2 linked regions of the Notamacropus eugenii genome follow. The protein of the gene in region 2 interacts with the protein of the main gene of each other region in a pairwise test. Links are inferred from orthologs where the notes say so. Each region holds a gene or a part of one and is shown on either strand. Other genes may lie near its edges. The genes, in order: PRTFDC1 and FLAD1.

Region 1 (11,462 bases), on a different chromosome or scaffold from region 2:
AGGTTCTCCCTTCATAATAGGGGTTATTTCCCCCTAAAAAGTAACAAAGTTGTCTCAGGGATTTGATTGACCAAGTCTCTGTCTTTGACTCAACTTGCTGGTCATCTAAGGGTATGAAAAGTCCTGCTGAATGGAATCAGGGCCCCTGACTTGGATTTTTGACTACCAACTAAGTCACTATACCCTGCCTTGTTGACCAGACACATTTACATATGGATATAAGGCAACATTCAAGGAAACTAAATGCCACTGTATCCTTGCAGCATTAGGCAAAGTAAACCTCCTTATGTTCACTGTTCAGTGATATTCAAGTCCTCTTAACTTAAATAGGCAGATGGCATTAAGTCTGCCTCTATATCTGTCAAACACATACAACTATCATTTACATGTACTATCCTCCTTACATCTTTTTTTTCTCCAACCTACACATCCCAAGTTCCTTTAGCTTATCCTCATATGACATGGGATTAAGGCCTTTCACCATCTTCATTTGCCCTCCTTTGGACAAGCTTGTCAATGTTCTTTTTAACTCATGACTATTACCATTCCCATTTTACAGATGAGGAAATAGAGGCAGAAAAGTTAAGTAATTTGCTCAGGGTCAAATAATAAGAGTGATGCCAAATTTGAATCCAAGTCTTCCAGGTCCAGCACTCTGTCCATCATACTACTTGGCTGACTTTAGGTTCAGACTTGAGATTTTATTAATGTGAGAGACTACAGGTGTGGAAATTCCCTTTTCTGATGTACATTAGCAAGTCATCAGTGATTTATAGTCTTTGAGAGCTACCTAGGGGGCTGAGAAGTTAAGTAACTTGTCCAGGGTCACAGAATCTCTGTGTAATAGGCTGGGCTTGAGCCTGGCCTTCAATATAATAATTCTTGCTGTCTCTGAACCCCATAACATGATTAATTCAGAAAGAGGAATGAAAACTTCTTACAATAGTAATCAACCAGATTCTGGTTTCATCTAAAATATGAAATACATTTGAATTTAAAATCCTTAGATCTCCTCAAGTTCCTATACTTATAAAAACTGCCAACAACAAAAAAAAATTCTTTGCCTAATGTTACAATTGGACCAGTTTTAAAGCAGACTTTATTTTGCAAATACAAATGATTTTGGATCATCTGCATGGGGATTTTCTGCAGTGAATTTTTAATTCCTTTTTTAAGCCTGGGAATAACCAAGGGAAAATTCTAATCAGTTTCTAAGTGTTAAGGAGCAGGTGCTCAGATTAAGGGTTTTCAGTTTTTTATTTTCCTTTTAATTACATACACAGGAGGGAAAAACACTATGACTTTTCCACTGGCTTTCCCATTGCCTCTAGGATATAATACAGACTTCTCAGCCTCCAAAATGTAGCCCCAACCTATCTTTCCAGATTTTTTTCCACATTACTGCCTTTCCCAGACTCTATATTGCAGTCAACTGTTTCCTGATCTCAATGTCTTCTCCCCCATGCTATATATTCCCTTAAATCAGGGGTGCTTAACTCTTGTGTCATTAATTCCTTTGATACTTTGGTAAGCCTGTAAACTCTCAGAAAAGTGTTTTAAATGCATAAAATAAAATATGTAAGTTACAAAGGAAACCAGTTATATTGAAATGGTTATCAAAATACTTTTTAAAAGTTCACAGACCTCAGGTTAAAAACACTTGTCTCAAATCACCCAAGGATACAGAGCCTATGGGGCTCTCCACTGGATTTCCTCCATCAACCTGAAGCCTCTTGCATCCCTGAAATTCATATATTGGACTCATCCTGTGGCATCACTCTGATCGGACAGCTCCACCTAGAAACCTCACTTAGGGAGGGTGTCTAGGCCGACGATGACTCAGGATTTCCTTTACCATGCCCAGCACAACATAAGGCACCCTAGTCTCTTTCCTGACCTCTTCAGCTTTCTCTTATGTGTGGTCTTTTCCCACTAAAATGTAAGTTCCTTGAGGGTAGGGGTTATCTTTCTTTCTACTTGTATAAACACCCCAGCTCTGGCACACAGTAAGTGTTTAATAAATAATCATTGACTGGTTGATTGATCTACCTTTCAGAATCCTTTTCACATACTTTACACATGATTTGCTGCTTTATGGGAGTACTCAAAGAGCCAAGTACTTCAAAAGTTACAGTATCTGAATAAAAGATGTACATTTTTAGCATGACATTTTAGCAACACTACTTATTACTCACTTATTTTCTATCTTGAATACAAATTACTCACACTTTATTTTCTATCTTCTTTGGAACAGTCATTTTAGTAGTCATATGGCATTAAGGTAGTATGGAAAAATATCTAGCATTAATTAAGTGTGCACACTAAGCTAAGTGCTTTACAAATATCTCATTTGATCCTCATGACAACAAGGGGAGGTGAGATCTATTTCTATCCCCAGATAATACAGAAGAGGAAACTGAGGCAAAGAGAGGTAAAATGACTTACTCAAAGTCGCATAGTCAGTCTGAGGCTGGATTTACACCTAGGTCTTCCTGACTTCCTGGGCAGCCTAGTGACGCAGTGGATAGAGTACCAAGTCTGGCATTAGGAAAACTCATTTTCCTGAATTCAAATCTGGCATCAGATATTTACTAGCTGTGTGGCCCTGGGCAAGTCACTTAAACTTGTTTCCTCATCTACAAAATGAGCTAGAGAAGGGAATGTGCCAAGAAAACCTTAAACTGAAATGAACAACTTTCTAGCTCCAGGCTCAGCCCTGGATACACTACTGTGCCACCTAGCTCCAAGTAATAGTGGGTAGTAAGCCAACCCTGAGGTCAAAAAAATATGAATTCTTGCTCTTAATAACAAGTCACTTAACCTGTAAGCACCCCAGGAACTCTCTAAGACTAAACTGTAGAGAAAGTGCTGACCTGGGCATAAGAGTATTTCCTCATCAGAAACCATAAAACATACACATTACATGGTTCCTTTCCAAAAGGCAGAGTTCAATGAGATCTCAGAGAGGATCAAGGTCACACACTCTCACATTTTATTAATAAAGTGAAACCCAGGGGGATTTGTCCAGGGTCGCAAAAGGTAGCCCCGTAAATATCTAAGTATAAATAATGCTGGACTACATCCAGGATCAGTGAGGGTTAGAATCCCGCCCTACTCTAGGTAGTTTAATCACATAATTTTCTGTACCCCAGTTTTCTCTTTTAATCCAGACTCCACCACTACCACTTGTATAACATTGAGAAAGTCACCTTAGTTTCTATAGGCCTCAGTTTCCTCAAATGTAAAATGAGTGAGTCACACTACACAATTTCTAAGATCTTTTTGAAGTCTAAATTGGAGACCCTATGTAGCATATTCCTTACAGGATCTTTGTGAGGGAGGCACTTAAATAAGCTGTTTTAAATATTATCCGAACTCAGAACACAGAACCATTATAGCCAGCTGGTTCTAAGCTGTGAGAAATTTTACCTCTCTGACCTCCCCTCTTTATACTGGTTTAATTTTGTGATAGTGGAAATGGGGAAACAACAGTAAGCTATAATCTTAACTTCTTTTAGGGTTGTTTTCTTTGGGCTGTTTTTTGGTCAAGGAAATTAATTTTGAGAGAAATTTCTTGGTGGATTCTTTACTGGAAGGGAAAGCTTCAGTTCAGTGACTGAAAATTTAATTGCTTGAGGCAGAAGCCAAAACATTCCGAGCGATTGTTCTCATAACTACCCAATTTTGAAAGTGTTTGCTCTTTTCCGAAAACACATCCAAGTGAGCACGAAAATGCGTACCACAGCATATTTTAATGCCAAGACCCATGAACCTCCTCAAGGGGGATAATAAATGTAAAGCATTTTGTAAACCTTAAAGCACTGGAGCTAAAAGTAAAGCAACATTACTATTAATATGGAGGGTCATAAAAACCAGGTTCGATATAAGTCTTGGTGCAGGTTTAAGCTACTAAAGCTTGAGACTTTGGGGATATTGTTTACGTTGAATTGGTGATGAAACGCATCCTTAGAGATCATATTATCCAAGAAACTGAGACCCAGAGAAGTAACTTACCCAAGGAGTAACTGAATACACAGGTAGTAGAGTACAGAGACCAGGATTTCAACTGAGGTCTTCTGACTCCAAATCAATGGATTTCCACTAAAACCATGCCACTTTCACAATCCCCCTTGTTAAATGAAAGCTTGAACAACAAGTTCGAAAATGAAGGACCCTTAGTCCCTACCTGCCTCTGTCCATTTTTATTTTCTTCTTCTCCTCACTCCATTTATGCAAGTAAATATTATTTCCGGGTTAACTTACAGATCCCATTCAATTCCACAAAAATGTATTGAACTGAACTGACCTAGCCCCAAAACAATAAGATTTTGGGGGGATACCAAGGCCAGTATTTCCAATATCATTAACACTGAATGGAATTCTATAGGCCATGTAACACCCTGTAAAAGATATTTTCGGGGCTTTGCTTAGCATGGGGAAAACAGCTTCCACCTTTAACCTGAGTTGATGCTGGATCACAGCCAGAGATGGAAGAGTGGAAGGCGATTATATAAAAGATCAGAGCAAACACCTTTAAGCACCAGGGGTCTCACACCCTAGAGGGGCTGGTTCTCCAGGTAAGGACAGAGGTTCAGAGGTCAGCTGCCTAACTCTCATAATCCCACACTGATTCGGTCGAATTTTTCTTTTAATCTTACGGTAGTCTCAAGGCAGTGGAGGTAGGCGGAAAGGAAGGTAAGAAAAACCAAAGGGAAGGTTACAAAGCGCAGACCCACCTGCCTCTCTTACCTGCATCCTCCCCATCTCTAACCCTTCACTCCCATTTCTAAAAGCTAGGCCTGGAGTTTGCAAGGTTAGAGCAAGAACAAAAGGCAAGGTCAAAGGCCAGGGTGCTGGTAGGGCGGCTGGGGCTTTTGTGAGTGGAAGAGAAGAGAAGGTTGGAGTGTGGAAAAGATTGAGAAAGAGAAAAAAAAGAAAAAGCTATTTGCTGGGTTGGATTTTTCTAGGGCTAAGGATGGAGGGTCTTTGTTAGAAGATGGAAACAAAGTATCCCTGGGAGACACTGAGCGCCGCCCGAGGGTTTTCCTCCTCCTCTAAGAGGGAGAATTCCAGTCTGCAAAGAGATGGCCAAGGGTAGCAGCCTGGAGGGAGGGATGAAGGAGATACGGAGGGTGTGGGCGCTCACTACTGCCCGGAAATCAGGAGTTTCCATTTACCACGACCCCTCGCCTTTCGTCTCGCGCCTCCTCTCTCTTCCCAGCCATGTTTCTCCCGGAGGAAAGCAGGAAGTAAGGAAAGAAAGGGAGCCCGGAGCTCCAGGGAGGGGGTGAATGGGCAAGAGGGGCGGGGGCAGGGAGGGGAGGGGATGCGGCGCCGGGCACCGGCCTCTGGGGGACAGCTCCGCCCCTGCCCCCAGCCAGCTGGCGGGAAAGGATGGCTCTGCTGCCCCGGGCTCTCATTGGCCGGACGCCAACTCCTCCTTCTGCTTTTTTCCTCCTCGGCGCTGAGCTTCGGGAGGATGCCCTAATACGATACCTGAAGACCTGCTGCCAGCTCTGGGAGCCTCCGCGCTGGCCGGGGCTACTTGGCAGCCCCTCCTATGCCCGGTGTATGTTCCCCCAGCTGCTGAGGTGGGTGCCCCGGGGTGCTCGCGTCCCTGAGGTCTTTGAAAGTCCTGAACTATTCAGAAAAATGAAAAAAGCAGTGTCGACTGTTTCAGTTCTCCCCCCTCCCAAACATTTTCTTTTAAAACCTGAATTTAATCTTTAGGAAACACAAAAACAAAAACAAAAAATTCCAGTTGTTTAGAAAAAAAGGAGGATTGTATAAACACACAGAACTGCCATGCATAGTTTGTTTTTTTTATAGAAAGCTGGACAAATTACAATTATCCTGGTAGTAAAAAAAAATTGCTCTTTTTGTATCTCCATTCTGGAATTCTTTTTTATTTCTTCTGTGAATTTTAAGACGTCTTATGGATCCTCTTTTTCTCCCCCTTTCTGTTATCTATTGCTACTTACCACAGGACCTTCCTCTCCATAGAATCTCTCTCTTGTAACAACTATGTTTAGTCAAGAAAAATAAAGCCACATATTGACCAATATAGATTTCTAAGAGAATGAAGGGGCAGCAGGGGATTTCCATTTGCTTTTATCCTGCCAGATTCTCAACTCTGTTCCTCAAAGAAATCAGGCGCCTCTAAGGTCATATCCTAGACACATGAGTACTTGTGATATGTGTTTTTCCCATTTTTATTAATGATCATGGTCTCTGAACTCTCTCCAAGTTTTCCACATCCCCTCAAGTTGTGGAGCCCAGAACTGGACACAGTATTCCCCTAAGGGTGTGAGTTGGAGAACTTAAGGTGGAGGGTCTTTCTCAAATATGAACTGTATTAGGCTGCCGAGGTCCCTTCCAACTCTGAAGTTCTGTGGTCCTCTGAAAATAGATCCATTCAGGTCCCTTCTAGCACTGGGACTTTGGATTCTATGATATTTGAACTGACACTATGAAATCTGAATCAGCTTGGTACATTTTAGAATAACCCAATTGAGACCTAAAAGGGACTTGGGAAAAGATTCAGTATAACTTCTGGCTTGCTAAAACATTCTTAAACCATCCCCAGACATATGAGAATCTATGATGTGTGTGTTTTCCACTTTCTATAAATCCATGACCCCCATCTTTGAATTCTTTCCAAGTTTTCCACACCCCCTCAAATTATGGAGCCCAGAACTGGACATAGTACTCCACCAAGGGCCTGACTCAGAATTCTTTCCAAGGATTACTGTTTTATTCTTCAGATTTGTGTAGAAGCCAGGAAAAGGAATATGACCTTTGCCAAGCTTAAGGGATGGGAGGAGAGGATAGTCATCAACTAATTTTTATTGAACACCTACAGGGTGGGAAAACATATCAGCTGCATGAACACAGTCTCCTGAACATGAAGAGCATGTTTAAAAAGATTCTAAGTGTCTATGAAATGTGGTGGTTTCCAAATCAACAGGGCAGAATAATGCAACTTAGTTAATTTTGGTGCTTAAACTCATGTATGAGAGTCATTTTACCTAAAATGGAAAATATCAGTGAACACATGAGGATAAGAAGGGTGCTCAGGTAAGCATAATCACACCAAAATAGTGAAAATGGGTCCAGAGCTGCCTCCAATGAACATTTTTCATTGATTTCACAAAAGCAAAAAGTGCACCTTCTCAGATCCTTCCACCCTCCTTGGTGATGTACCATCACTTCAGATTCCATTATATTCATTTACTTATCTGCCTTCATGTTGTAGCCTTCCCTAGAATGTAAACACCTCAAAGGAAGGTACTTTCATTTTTGTCTTTGAATCATCAGAGCCTAGTTCCTATCACATAGTAGGTACTTCATGTTTGTTGAATTGTATTGAATCAAAGAAGGTAAAATGATGCTTTATGGGAAGTTTATTACATAAGAACCATGTATACATGGGCAGCTAGAATTTAGTGACTTTATACTAGGTTTGGGTTATAATTCATTAACCATGACTTAAAATAAATTTTATTGATTTCTTTGGTTTTTACACCACCAGCATATGTCTCTCAGTATCCCTTCTTCTGTCCTTTCCAAAAAGTTATCCCATATAGCAAACAATATTTTTAAAGAAAAAAGAGAGACAGCAAAAAACCAATTAATACATTGAAAAAGTAGGAAAACATGCAATGTACCATAGCCATGAACCTCTCACATCTTCAAAGGAATAGGCTGGAGGTATCTTCCCATTTTCATCTTTAGGGCCATATTGTTCATTTGTTTGTTTGTTTTATTTTGTAATTTTGCAGCATTTACCTTTTGTCTGCTCTGTGTTTTTTTCCCCCATTTCCCTTAACAACAACTTTTTTACAAGTCTTATCGATGCCTTTGGTTTTTCCACCATAGTAATTTCTTGAGAAAATCCCTCTCCTCTCTGAACCTTGTCTTGTTGCAAAGAAAAATACAAGCAAATATAATTGACCCAGTCACTTATATACCAAAGTATGCAACGTTCATATCCATATTTCACCCACTTCTCCATCAGTTGTTTCATTTACACTATTTTAGTCATTTGGCTCACCTCATTCTTCATCAATTTATACTGGTCTTCCCATTTCTCTGAAAATCTCATAATTTGTAACTTTAACAATGCTATTGCAACCTTTTATGAGGGATGAATATACTCATTGACCAAACTGGCACCATTAGGCAAATTATGCTTTCTACTATGTAAAAATCTGGGGGAGGAAATATAGAGACAATTGTTCTGTGACTAGTAGTCTTAGAGTATTGGGAGAGGGCACTTCCAAATGAGTTACTAAGAGTCCCACAATCTATGTGTCAGAGGCAGGAAAGATGTGAACCCAATTTCCTCATTCTCTATCCATTACTCCACATATATATATATCGTGTTTGTCCTTTGTTACTGAAGAAAACCATGTCATCAGAGAAATGATGACATGACTTGCACTTGACTTTGTTTTGAGTGAGGGAGGGCTGTGCAGGTCACCAGCTCACTTCTATACATATATGTATACACACACACACACACACACACACACACACACATATATATATGGTTATAGATCAGTTAATTAACGTATGTAGGCATTTGGCTGAGAGTAACAAGTGTTCAGCTTGGAATCTGGAAGACCTGAATTTGAGTTCTTCCTCAGACGCTAACTAGTTGCGTGACCCTGAACGGTCCTTAACCTCTCTGAGTTTCAGTTTCCTCATATATAAAATGAGGATAAGAATAACACCTATTGAACAGAGTCATTGTAGGGATCACATTCGATTACATATATGTATGGTATACACATATGTGCACATATATGTATGTCATGCTTTTTAAACCTTAAAGCACTTTAGCAGTTACTATATAGAGACAGCAGCGGCACAGGGAAAATGATGATGGATTTGAAGTCAGAGGACCCCAGTTTTAATTCTGAACTTGCCATCTATACCCATATGACCTTGGGCGAGTAGTTGACCCTGTGGGGGCCTTAGTTTCTTTCTATATAAAATTAGGGGATTAGACAAGGTGATTTCTGAGATCCCTTACAGCTCTAAATCTATGATCTTATAAATACTTTGTAAAAGCCATCAAGCAATATATAGTGAGTTATCAGATGCTTTATCTTCACTTAATAGTTGAAAAATTATTCCATCTCTGTGAATACTAACTCCAATGAAAAAGACTGAAATCCTCTTATACTCCATCCTATACTATTCTTGTCCCTGTTTCACCATAAAATTTCCATAAAGGGAGTGTTCAATGAACTAGAAGTCTTCCTTTCAATTTATTTTTTTGTTTAGGGAGCAGTGAAAGCACTTCACAATTTCCTGATGACATTCTAACTTGATATCAGTTTAATTCCAGTCTCAAATCATTATCCATGTGCAGCACTTATCTCATATATTTATGTTTGTGAACTAACTTGTCAGTTGCCTACGTACCTACATGCTATAATGTTATAAAGCAATATGAATTTTCATTTAGTTTTTCCAGGGCAAATGGTTAGATCGATGTCTTTTGCATTTTTATGAATTTCACTATGGAATCTGTGTAGTGTTCAGGGTTTGATTGCCAACCTGGATCCTATGACAGGAAATAGAAAACAGACCCCTGCCATTAGATAACTTATGATCTAGTTGTGGAAATTGTATGAAACTGCAAGATAACAGAACTAGCAAATGTTGAAAATCACAAGGATCTATAGTATCTCTTTTTATAGTAAGAATTAAAAATAATTTTTACATGCAACCCCATAGCTACACTCTGAAAAATTGCAGGTTGTCAATTGAGGGAATGGAAACCATATAACCACAGCATTGGAAATATCCATTTGCCTATTCATCCAAAGCAAGAAGTGCTTGCTGAGCATGAGAAATAAGGAAAAAAAGAGTAGACTTGATTAATTTTGCTATCTGTCTCCTCTGACTTCAGGTGTTTCTTTATAAGATAGTTTTGATGTATTATCTTAAAAGGATAAAATTCATTATCAAGGGTTGGAAACTGGTGCAAGGAAACCCTTATAGAATATTTATTAGATAGTGCAAAGTTTATTTTTCAAGGAATAACATTAACTCAGGTATCTAGGCTCTATCCCTTAACTTGACATTGGCATATTGTATAGTCTGGGGGAAAGTGTGCTGGGTATGCCTCACTGATCTCCTATGAAGATTTTTTGACTAGAAGTCAGAAGTTTTTTGTTCTTGTCCTACTTCTGCCATTTAACTATCCATGATAATTCATATCACATGGTCAAGTCACTTATCATCCCAGTGCCTCAGCTGTTCTAATTGTAAAACGGGGAGGATAAAGACCTGTCTTATCCTCTAAGATTACATAATGTGTGTGTTAAATAAGATAATATATGTGAAAGGCCCTTGGAAAAATATTGCCAAAATGTAAGGTGTTATTAGTCTGGGATGTGGTGAGAATTAATGAGATAATGTTAGCAAAGAAAAGAGAACTGTCTTTTATATGGTGAAACACAAGTAAAGGGTAGCCTGAAATTACTGCCCAGAGACAAGTTAGGGCTGGCATAAGAAAACATGCTGGATACAGAAAAATCAGAAAATTTAGAATTAGGAGCATAAGCAGATAGTGAATTTAGTTCTGTTTAGATGTAAAAAGAGTGAGATTCACAGCTCTGAAAACCCAAGGCAAGGGAAATGCATTGAGCTTTTTCCTATTTTTCCTTACCTTTAGGTAGCAAGTCCAAAGAGAGAAAGACATGAACCCCACAAGCAGCAGGTTCAGTGGAGTTTGGGATCTGGGGTCTGACCACAGGCACTTGTAGGTCACCCATCTTGGGCCTGCTATTTGACTCCTTGTTATATATTTAATTTTATCGATAGAATAATTTGTTTCTCATTAGTCAGCTTGTGATGTCTTTCATTAAGTCATTAGTTCAATTCCCCACTCTAATTCATTATTATTTATTTAATGAAATAAAGAACTGTCCTTCCTCAATAGTAATTGTTCTTATTTATCTGTATAATTAATGAACATACAAGTACGACAGAATTAAAATTTCTGAATGCATAATTTTATTAACAAATGAGAACAATAAGATAGTCATGTACCATCATTTATAATACCTCTTCTATAATCAGATGGTTCCTACCATAGCGAAAACCATGAAGATACACAGATGCTATTAAAGATCACAGGATTTAAGGACCTTGAAGATTGCCCAGGCCAATACCCTCATTTTATAAGTGAGGAAACTAAAGCCCAGAAAGGGAATTTGTCCATAGTCAAACAGTTAGTAAATAGGTAGAATCAGCATTTAAACCTACGTCCTCTGATTCCAGTGCCAGGTCTGGAGTCAGGAAAACCTGAATTCAAATCCAGCCTCAGATACTTACTAACTGTACAGCCTTGGGTAAGTCACTTAACCCTATTTGCCTTAGTTTCTTCATCTGTAAAATGAGCTGGAGAAGGAAATGGCAAACCATTTCAGTATGTTTATCAAGAA
Region 2 (11,075 bases):
AGTCTGGGTCAGTGGGACTGAGGGGACTGAGGCTTCGGGATGAAGGATCCGTTCTCCTTGTGCCCATCAACACAGCCTCCAGCTGGGGGTTCTGTGCCCTAAGATCACTCAATGCCTGCTTCATGTCACCCTCAGCCTGTAAGACTTGCAGCTTATACCTGGAGAGGCCCATAAACCACCTCTTGAACCCATAATCAAACAACTCCCCACTCCTCTTAACCCCCATAACCCTCAGCCTTCCCAGCCTGAAATTCCTGATCCCCAGTACCTCTTGGCTGTCTCCTTCAGAAACTGCTCCAGTTCTGGGAAGGGGGAGATGCTACGGATGTAGAGAATCTTCAGCGGGACCTTGTGCTCTGGGAATTTCCTTTGGGTAGGTGATGAGAAGGGTCAGGAGGACCCACAGGTTCCTCCATTTGTGTAGAGTGCCCCCTAAAACAGTGTATGTACACTAGCCTCTCCCCCACCCCATCCTGGAATGCCCTCCTTTGTCTTCTTATATCTAAATCCTGCACATCCCACCTCTCAAGGTCCAGCTTAATATTTCCTTCCTCCAGGAAGCCAGCCCTAGCCTGATTTCTCCCAACTTGTTAAATATTTATCTTCTACAGAACATGATCCAACATTTGGTTAGTGAACGTGTTTTCACTGCTCTTTGGTTGTCATGTACTCCACTAATGTCACATCAACAAGACTGTAAGCTCCATGGGGGTAGGGCTTGCGTCTAATGAACCTTAGGTATCTTCCCTAGTTCCTGCATAGGGCCTTGCATGTACATAAAAGACACTCTACATACAAATCCTCGTTGAACTGATATGAATAGACTTCCTCCTCAACACCGACACACATCCAGGAGGGAGAAACAGAGTGAATGGACCCAGGAAGGAGGGAGGGGAGCCACTGGTGGTAAGCAGTGGGGGAACATGCATCTTGGGAGGGCCTCTCCCAGGACTTGCAGTACCTCTGGACAGCAGCGTGGAAGAGGTGTAGAAGGGCAGTGCAGTCCTTTCCCCCGTTGAAGCCCACACAGAGCTGGGTCAGGCTGTACCTCGACAGGGCCTCCTCCATTGTCTTCAGGGCCCCTGCTACCTTCTTCCCCAGGGGAGTTCCTGCCAGGAATATTGGGAGCACAGGGGAGACATAGGCATGAACAGTCAGAGGGGATCATGCAATGATTCCTCAGGACTTTCCCAGCCTCTGTACAGCTTAACATCCCTTCCACTGGATCCCACCCCAGGGGCTAGAACCAAGTTAGTTCTCTGAACACTAGAACATACAGAATCTGAGAGTTTAAAGAAAGCTAAAGAGGTCATCTCTAGTCCAGCCCTTTGCCTGGGAAGCATGCATTTTCTCTATATGCATTCCTTCCCTGACAAGCAGTGGCTTTCTGAGAAATCAGAGGCAGTATCCAAAAGCAGAGTGAAGGTCTCACTGCCTATTCACTAGCACTATTTGGACGGAAAGGAAAACTACAGGTAGCAAACTGCACCTCTTTTTACAAGATCTACTGGCTACTGAACCCATTCCTAAGACAAATACAAAAACTTCTGCCAGGGACAGGAGATAGCCAAAGGAATGCAATGCCCGCTTCCCATCCTCCACAGCCTTCTTCTTACCTGACTGGGCTAACTTGTACACAGCTTCCCCAGCCTTCTCCACTGCATTGGGTACAAATGGCACCAGGGCTCCAGGAGGTAAGTGAGCAGTCAGATAGGCCTTCGCTTCCTCCACTGCTGCCTCTTCATCTGAGTCCAGGGTCAGCTTAACCCGGTAGTAATTACTGCTCCACTCTGGATAGGAACCAATGCCAAGTCTTCGTCCAAAGTGAGCCTGTGCTTCTGTGAGAATGGAAGCAACTGCCGATTCCTCCACTGTCAGGTATAACTCTCGAAGGTGGAATTGCACCCCTTCATTCCGGAATAGACTTGATAGCCCCCCGAGTACCCGCTGCTGCAGTTCTGGAATGCCTGGGAAGAGGTAGACATTCCGGACAGAAACCAAGGGGAATCGGAAGGGGACTCCAGTTTCAGGGTCAGTACCATAGTGCAGACAGGCAGTGGAAGGCACCTGAACCAGCTTCTCTTGCCCAGTGCCCCCCAGGGCTCTCACAGCTTTTTCCAACTCAGGATGGGGCTGGAGTTTGTCTCCAAAAGCCTGGGCTACAGCCTCAAAGGTGATATCGTCATGAGTGGGTCCAATGCCACCAGAGGTGAGGACATGGGTGAAGCGGGCAGAGAAGGAAGCCACCTCCTCTGCAATGGCCATCACCTCATCTGGTACCACAGAGATCCGGGACACCCGTACACCCATGGAGCGAAGAGTCCGGCACAGAAAATAGGTGTTGGTGTCCTGAGTATAGCCCTGGGGAAAGTGGGGGACAGAGAGTAAAGAGATTTGATGTTTTGTTTTGTGGAGGGAGGGTAGCTACTCCCACGTGTTGGAAAAGAAAGTCTCTTTCTTGGAGGTACCATAGAGATAGGGAGATGGGAGAGAGAAATGAGTGAGAGTGGATAATGGAAAATCATTTAGGGTTAAGATTTGGAACGGAGTCACTCACTGAGTCAGATCCATGATGCTCTACTTAGCCTTATACTCTTCTCTTTTGGTGAGACTGTCTAGTGTCATAGCTTCAAACATCACCTCCATGAAGATGACTCCTCAATCATTTATTTCCAGCACTTACTACTCCTTTGAGCTCTCATATCTTCAATTGCTCCTGAATGTATCTACTCAGATGTACTGCTGCAACTCATTAGGTCCAAAATAAAGCTATGCTTCTCCTAGAACCTGCCATTGCTCATGAATTTCCTATTTCAGAATGACGTAACTTTTTTCTTTCCCTTCTCCTTCATTTCTAATCAGTTGCCAAGTCCTGTCTATTCTAAGTCTCCCAATTTTTACATGGCAAATCTGACATTTGAACCCAGTTAGTCCAGTGCTCTTCCATTTTCACTGCTAACATCCTGAATTAGGTCCTCTTTCATCTCTTCTGGCCTGCACTGTTACCATGTCCCCAATCTTCCTTCCAGGCTCTCCTCTCCTCTACCCATCTTACACAGGACACTCAGACCAGTCCTCCAAAAATAATGCTCAAAGTGGTCAAAATCCTTCAGTGCCCTTCTACTTCTCACTGACTACAATCCAAATTCCTCATTTTGGCATTCGATTATCTGGCTACTTTGCTATGCACTACCCGCCTACATGTTTGTATTCCAGCCCAATCAGACTATTTACTGCTCACTGAATTGGACTTGTGTTTCTTTATCTTCAGTCCATTGGTCAGGCTGTTCCCTCCCCGTCAGGTCCTCCCCACCATTTCTACCACTTTCAAGGTTCAGCTCCAAAGCTTCCTCCATGCATCTTCACTTAGTCACCTGGAAGTGATCTCTTTCTTTTTGGAGCTCCAAACACAGTGAATCACTTATTCAAATGGCACTTCTTAAAGGTCTTTAGTTATTTCAACAGGAGTGTAATTCCCCTTTCACTTTTTACCTTTAACCCCCTTTATGTAAGCTGTCTTCCCCATTAGTAACTACCATTTATATGCCACCTTCTATGTGTCTGGCACTGTACTAAGCACTTCTACAATTACTATCTTGTTTGATCCTCACAAAAACCCTGGGAGATAGTAGCTATATTATCCCTATTTTACAGTTGAGGAAACGGAGGCAAAGAGATTCAGTGATCTGCCCAGGGTCACACAGCTAGTAAGTGACTTTGGGTCTTGCACTGTGCTACCTGGTTGCCATTAGAATATAAGCTCTCTGAAGGCAGGTAGTACCTTGGTTTTGCTTTTATTACTATCCCCAGCACTTGGCATAGTGCCTGGCACATAGCAAACACTTAAAAAAGGCTCCTTCCTTCTTTAAGTATATAGACAGCTTTGCATTTCCCATGCTATTTAATATGCAGTCCTACATATACAGTAGGCGCTCAATAAATGTCTGTTAGATGAATGAATATATAACCTACCCCCACCTCCACAGAGTTCCTTTGGGAGTTTTACTGAAGCCAGGGAAAAAGAGAGCTGAGCAAAATGAACAGGGGAGTGAGTTAAGTAACCAGTTTGGCAAAGGGCTCAGTCACGTTGTTAGGTGTGTGGCAGTGGGAGGTCTGTGTCATGGAACCTGCAAGTTTAGAGTAAGCGGCACTAGAGGAAGTTCACTTCCTCTTTCCCAGCTGGACTAAGCTGAACGTTTCTCCCCCTCAATTAAAATCAATAAGCTATCCTCCTGGGAAAAGAAAGAGAGAAAGGAAGAGCTGCCTAGGGTCCAGGTCCACAACTGCATCCCTGCCTGCTGAGGCATGCTCCCGGGGACTCCTTTGCCGCAGGTGCATGCTGGTGGGGTCCCCTTTTCGTGTGGTACACACCAGAGCAAGTGCACACGCACACCCCCCCCATACACACCCACCTTGAGGATTTCATCTCCGATGATGATGATGCCAGCAGTCACATTTTTCCTGGGGGTGGCCATGGTCCAACTTCTTCGATCCTGTAGTACCCTCCAGTAGCCACCCAGGCCCCGGGCGAGCACTCGGGAACATGAGGGTCCCGCCAGCTCTACTGAAAATCAGGAGCTGTGGCTCAGGTGAGGTATCAGCCTGATGGGCGACAAGACTAGAATGGAAGGAACTAAAAGGAAAACTGTGGAACGGTGAAGGATCCTTAAGTTGGGGGTCGGAGAATCAAAGAACATCCGCACTGGGGATGACTTTAGGGGGTGATCTAATACGACTCCATTATTTTGCTAAGGGGGAAACTGAGGCTCAAGGGGGAGTGACTGCTCAGTGGCACACTGCACACTGTGCTGCAGCAGACTCCCCTGGAAGCAAAGTGAAGAAGGGCCTTGGAGTAGGGAAAACACAGCACTGGGTTCGAGTCCCAGCTCTGTGACTTACTCACTGTGCGACCTTGGATGAGTCACGGAACTCTCTGGACTGCGGATCTCCGTTTCCCCATCTGCAAAATAAAGGGAGTTTGGATCTTAGGCGTGCTGCGGGCGAGCTCGGGCCGGCGCTGGATCGCGGCCCGACGCTCCCTTCCCCACATCACACGCACCCTTTTCAGAGCCCACGGCACGCTCGCTGCCAGCCCTTTAAACGTCGCTTCGGCGTGTCGGGTACCTGTGTCCTTAATCGCCCGGTCCCTGGGCCCCGCACGCGGAGACAATGCCTGTCCTTCTCCGGGCCCGACAGCGCGCTTTTTCCAAACTGGGCCCCCAATCCCGCTCGGGCCGCGCTGCGGGTTCCCTGCCCACCAGCCAGGATTTCTCCGCTCTCACCCGCCCCTTTGCCCCTTCCCCACTTGTTTCCAACAACTCCCTCCCGGCTGTCCCGACGCGGCTTCCGTAGCTAGCGTTCCTCCTCAGCTAGACAACCGCTCTGCGCCGATTGGCCCGGGCTTTCCCCGCCCCGTTCAGCCCCCGGAGGCTTCATTGGCGCAGGCGGCTGTCCCTCGCTTGTCCCCGAACGGAGGGCTGGAGAGGCGCCGGCTTGTTGTTGGTGGAGAGCACGTGGCCGTCACGCCCGGAAGTGCTGGGACGCGGGGTGGTGCCCTCATTCCTCCCCCTCCGGCCAGGTTTCCATAGAAACTGTCTTAACAGTGGGCCTCAAAGAGCTTTTGGTCTGCTGTAGCTGAATCCCGGCGGGACTAAAGGACGCAGTCCGATAGCACAGGCCACAGCTCTGCCCGCAGTAGTTGCGGGGTGAAGGTGCAGTGGGCACGTAGCTGGTTGGTGGGTGAGACGACATTTTGATTAGACACCACCACCTTCTAAGGTGAGGGCACAGCACTTTTCTGTGGATGCTTAATAGAGGATCAGGGCCCGGCTAGTCCATTGCCTCTAAAAGACGAACATTTCTTGGGGAGAGGGAGGAAATTCTGCCCTGGGCACCTAGTCAAAACACGAGAATTGGAAGTATCTTTAAAAGAAAGCTAATACCTTGCCACACCCAGCTATGCTTAGCAGCCCCGGAACTTTCCCTGCAGTGTCAAGTACATAGTTCACTTGTCTTTTATTTTTAGGGCCATTTACAGGTAAGGCCCTCTCCCTAGCCTTCCTAAGTAACCAGCGTTAGAGCGCTTGCTATAGGAGGCCTTGTTTACGCAACACTAGTAAGTGGAGCTTGTAGCCTTAAGGTAACAACCACGTGATTCATTGGGTTGTTGCCTCAGTCAAACTAAAACCTGTTAAAGGCTTCAGATTAAAGAGGCCAAGGTCTCCCACTGCATCCAGGGCCATTGGTTGCCTTATCTACATCTGGCCCCTGGACCCAGATGGCACCGGAGGAGAAAGTGAGGCTGGTGACTTTGCACAGCCCTCCTGTACTTAGATCCAATTCACTTGCATGTCATGGCATCACCTCCCTGATGTCATGGCCCTTTTTGAGGACAAACAAGACAGTCCATCAGAGTTGTAAGATACTTTGTAACTGTCTGGCTTTGGGCAAAATCACTTAACCTACAAGCCTCATTTTCCAAACCTTTGCAAGCCTGATACTATAGAAATGTGAGCTATTTCATCTGACTAAAAATCTCCAACTCCCGGTAAGACTGTCATGAGGAAGAAGTGGTCTCATTTTTAAAAACCAATAACAGCACGACAGAATGACTGACTTCTTATCCACTCAAACCAAAGGTTAGTCACTTGGTCAAAGGCCACCTAGAATTCAAACCCAGCAACTTTTTCTTATCGGGACAATTTCATGAATCTCCACCTCAGGAAGAGGAAGCCAAAGGGGTGTCCTTGGAAACCAAGATAATTATTTAGTGTGTCTGGATTTTTTTTTTCTTTAAAGAACTTCTACCAGCTCCTTAACTGTTTCCCATAACTGCTCATTGTATCATATCTGCACTCTGTCAGTGTGACCTGAACAAGATCTCAAACTGGCCGCTTCTAATCTGTAGACTATCCTATTCAGGCCAAACACTTAACAGGGAATGTTATTAAATGTTCAAAGAAATAGGTAGAAAAGCAGCACCTCAGAGGGGTCTTTAGCTCAGAAGACTGTCAACACTACACTAAAGGGAATTTAGCTTGATGAAAATCTATTCTTGTCATAGATTATATGTGGAACTGTTGTGAATGGAATTATTCCCTTTATTCGTGCCTGAATTCGTAAAGCAATGCTTTGGCAGAAGACATACAAATATAAAATGTGACAGACTAATGCATTTTTTTGAGAGAGCTGCCCTGGACCAGTGAAAGTTTGAAATGAAGATTTTCAGCAGATGGCTAAGAATAATCAGCTTAACATATTTTTGAAATTAAATCCCTGAAATGAGCCTCATTATCCGAAAAGTACTGAAGTCAGATTAGGACCTTGGTATCTCATGAATGATACTCATCCTGATCACAGGCAGAAGGAATCTAAGAATGAATTACAAAAACTTCCTCTTTATTCAAGGGATTTCAACAGAACAGACATTTCTTGAATAAAATGGAAAGTTTCCAACAAATGAAAATATAAATCCATTAAGTCACCTTATACACAACCTGGTGGGGAAAAAAACACAAACAATTATACATGCCCCACAACTAAACAATGATGAATCTTCAGTCACTCTTGGTGCTTTGTCCATCTACTTGATGTGTTCAGCTTGATAAGAAACTTGCCATGGCTTTTGGAGGCAAAGCTCAGCTGAAGTTACATTCATCAGAGCACCCAATGGGGTAGTGGTGGTGATGTCAGCTTTGCTCAAGAAACAAGTCACCAGCACTTTCAAACAGTGTATTAATCATCCCTTAAATATCCCAAGTGAGAAACAAGAAGGCAACACTATTAGCAGAAAGATGTTAGCGGGTTAAGGACAGCTATGTACAGCTTGGAACAGAAATGGCATGCTCTTTCATTTCTTAGGCTTCTTAGGCAGTGGCCGCCGGAACAGCAAAATGTGAGGCTCTGGAAGACAGGGAAATAGATATTTCGATAAGATGAGACAAACTGGACTGTTCTCATGAGCTAGTTCCCCCTTATGTCATCATCTATGTGTTAATAAGCACACTCTAATATTTAGAACTTAAGTTTTATTTTACCATTCAGCCCTAGAAAAAGACCAAGCAGCCTGGTCTGCCAGCAAATATATTAATGCTCACATCAATTCTCCCTCTACGTGGTTTGCCTAGATATAGAAGTGTCTTTTATTAGCGTTGCCCTGAAGCTGAATTTCTGATGTTTTATCTGGTGATTTATAAAAAACAAGTTTTTTTGGCTATAGTTCAAAGATGTCCAAGCACAAAAATTGGGTTTCTGAGGGGCAGAGAAGCAGGGGAGGTAGAGATAGTTAATAGGGAATATTTGACTTTAGTTTATAACTAGTCCGTAATCAGAGAGTACAGAATTTAAGAGGAGTGTCCACATAGACAGGCTCCCAACTGCTTTTCAGATATCTTGAATGGATGTCCAGTAGACATCTTAAACAAACTTATTGTGTCCAAAACTGAACTCATCTTTTCCCCAATGCCTTCTCCTCCTACCTTCCTTATTACAGTAGAGGGAAACACCATCCTCCCAGACCTTCAGGCCTGAAACTTAGCCATCCTTAACTCCTCACCATCTCTCATTTCCATAGCCAATCTGTTGCAAAGCCTGTCAACTTCACTTTCCAACATTTCTTGAATATACCTCCACCTCTCCTCTGACACTGCCACTGCTGTAGGGCAGGCTATCATCACTTCAGGCCTGGATTATTATAACAGCCTGCTGGTAGGTCAGCCTGCCACTGGCCTTTTCCTACTCCAATCCGTTTTTCATAGAGCTGTCAAAATGAGTTTCCTGAAGCACAAGTCTGACTATATCATCCCTCTATTCGATAAATTCTAGTGGCTTCCTATTGCCTCCAGAATTAAATACAAAATTCTCTGGCTTTCGAAGTTGTCCTCCCACCTTTCATGTTTTCTTAGGCCTTACACACCTCTACATACTCTTCAATCCAGTGATACTGGCCTCCTTGCTATTCCATGAACAAGACAGTCATCTCTTGGCTCCAGTTATTTTCTCTGGCTGTCACCCATGCCTGTAATACTTTCCCGCCTCATCTCTGCCTTCTGGCTTCCTTCAAGTCCCAACAAAAATCCCACATTCTACAGGACAACTTTCCTTCTTAATTTTAGTGTCCTCCTTCTGTTAATTATTTCCTATTTATCCCATACAGTTTGTTTGTACAATCTGTTTGCTTATGGTATCCCCCATTAGATTATGAGCTGGTTGAGAATAGAGACTGTCTTGTGCTTAGCACATAGTAAAGGCTTACTGACCAAATGACAAGCCATCATTGAACTCTAGATATTTTGCTATTTGTGGTCTCCATGTAGGGCAAGGGAACACTCATCTATCCCACCTAAATAGATAAAATAATCAGCAATTACATGGGCACAGATGCTTAAGACAATAAATTATTAACTATTACATCCCTCCTCCCCCTTCCCATCTTCTTAGCTTATTACATTGATATATGATCTTATTACTTTTCCAGTGTTATCCTATAGAGTTGCTTTCAGATTTTCCACTGACCTGGTTCATGGATCATGTAATGGACCCATCCCTGACTCTGCTGGACACCAAGGTTCCTCCACTCAGACTCAGACATCAAGTGGGTCTTAGGGACCAGTTTGGCTATGTCCTTGGGCAACATGACGTGCCTGTAACAGAAATGTGGGGATGGTTTGCATCTAAGCATGGTGCAGTTAGGCAATCAACACTCTATATTATGCCTTTCACTCTGTACAGAAAAGTATATCATGGACTAAAGAGAAGATACAAAGGAACAATAACAATTCCTGCTCTCAAGGGAGCTTACAATCTAATGGGGGATTTCTTCAGTCAAGACTACTATAGAAACACTTTCAAAAACTTGTAATATATTATTGAGAACTTTAAAACTAATACTGTATTTGATTAATGATGCTGATGAGAATGGCATTATTAGAATACTTATAACAGTTGATTGATGATAGATCTTAATCAATATCTGGGAAAGAGCATGACTCTGGGGAGGGAATGTGGATAGTGGTTCTGAAAAGCCAGTGTACAGAGTAGAAAACTAAATGGTTTTTAATTTTCTGATCCTTTTTTGGAAAACTTGAAATACTTCTTAGCTAAGGTTCTGAGCTGGGGTCTAAGTCACTCAGGGAGGCAGATGAGCTGTTTGATTATTTGAAATCTGAGTCCTCGTGACCCAATTTGAGCTTCAGTAATGTCAATGAATATTTGCTGAATGTTCCTTGTATACAAAGGTGTCTCTGTATCCAAATAAATGTTTCTTGCCAGAATCCCTGATTAGGGATTTATATGCTAACAGGCTGAGAATTAAAAACCACCAACCTGAACAAATAATTTTCATTTAACACAGTAGCACAGGATATTTTAAACCAAGGCCTACTACAAAGCCATTTCAGCTGGGGTTCCAAAACGGCATGTTCCCCAGGACCAAACAAGTGACTTTTCCTTATTCTGATTTAATAATTGGGGGGACTGATAAATGAGTCTCTGTTATTAGTTTATTTAAAAGAACAGCTAAGAAGTATTGGGTTTTTATCTAGTTCTCTGCAACATTTTGTATGAGAGTAGGCACCCAATATATGTTGGCTGGTGTTAGCAGTTGCCTAGGGTGTACAGAACCCTATGCTAGGTCCTGTGAGATATACAAATGAAATCCATGTCTTTTCCTTGTATTTAAGGAACCTGAAATCTAGTTGGAAAGAATTGGAGATATCTTAAGAACCTTTATATTATAGCAAGAACAAATTAAAACGTTCCAATAGGTGGTTAGTAAATTATCTGTTTTCCAAAACACAAAGGTCTTAGAATTTTTGCAAGAGTGCCATTAAAATCCATTAAAAGAATTTCTCTTCTACATCTAGTTAACATGGGATCTGCCCCGACAGTTGCAGTGGCAGGTACAACTTACTATCATAGAATACAATGCTTTACATTTGACAGCACTACTAATAATTAAGAAGGGAGTCCTTAGTCAGAGGTACCAATAGGTCCTAGTTCTGTTTTCTGAAGCCACCTAGACTAAGTCTAATCCTTTTTTCTAAATGGTCCTTCAAATTTATGTGGATATCTGTCAT

The links.
Region 1: the proteins of FLAD1 (region 2) and PRTFDC1 interact in binary tests that used the Homo sapiens proteins (3 or more experiments, as listed by UniProt). The two-hybrid records come from large-scale screens. The link is inferred for Notamacropus eugenii from reciprocal best matches to the Homo sapiens genes FLAD1 and PRTFDC1.

The regions. Positions count from the first base shown.
Region 1 is NC_092874.1:65,762,261-65,773,722, forward strand, and holds the start of PRTFDC1 (phosphoribosyltransferase domain-containing protein 1), read right to left. Parts: upstream 5,307-11,462; 5' UTR 5,226-5,306; coding exon 5,178-5,225; exon of another isoform or gene 3,701-5,177; intron 1-3,700. UniProt on the Homo sapiens protein: Has low, barely detectable phosphoribosyltransferase activity (in vitro). Binds GMP, IMP and alpha-D-5-phosphoribosyl 1-pyrophosphate (PRPP). Is not expected to contribute to purine metabolism or GMP salvage.
Region 2 is NC_092873.1:379,068,536-379,079,610, reverse strand, and holds the start of FLAD1 (FAD synthase), read right to left. Parts: upstream 5,363-11,075; 5' UTR 5,125-5,362; exon of another isoform or gene 5,060-5,124; intron 4,961-5,059; 5' UTR 4,900-4,960; exon of another isoform or gene 4,565-4,899; 5' UTR 4,476-4,564; coding exon 4,413-4,475; intron 2,362-4,412; coding exon 1,617-2,361; intron 1,110-1,616; coding exon 962-1,109; intron 433-961; exon of another isoform or gene 368-432; coding exon 269-367; intron 159-268; coding exon 1-158. Other genes in the region: CKS1B (cyclin-dependent kinases regulatory subunit 1), read right to left, coding at 7,850-7,902, 9,514-9,641. UniProt on the Homo sapiens protein: Catalyzes the adenylation of flavin mononucleotide (FMN) to form flavin adenine dinucleotide (FAD) coenzyme.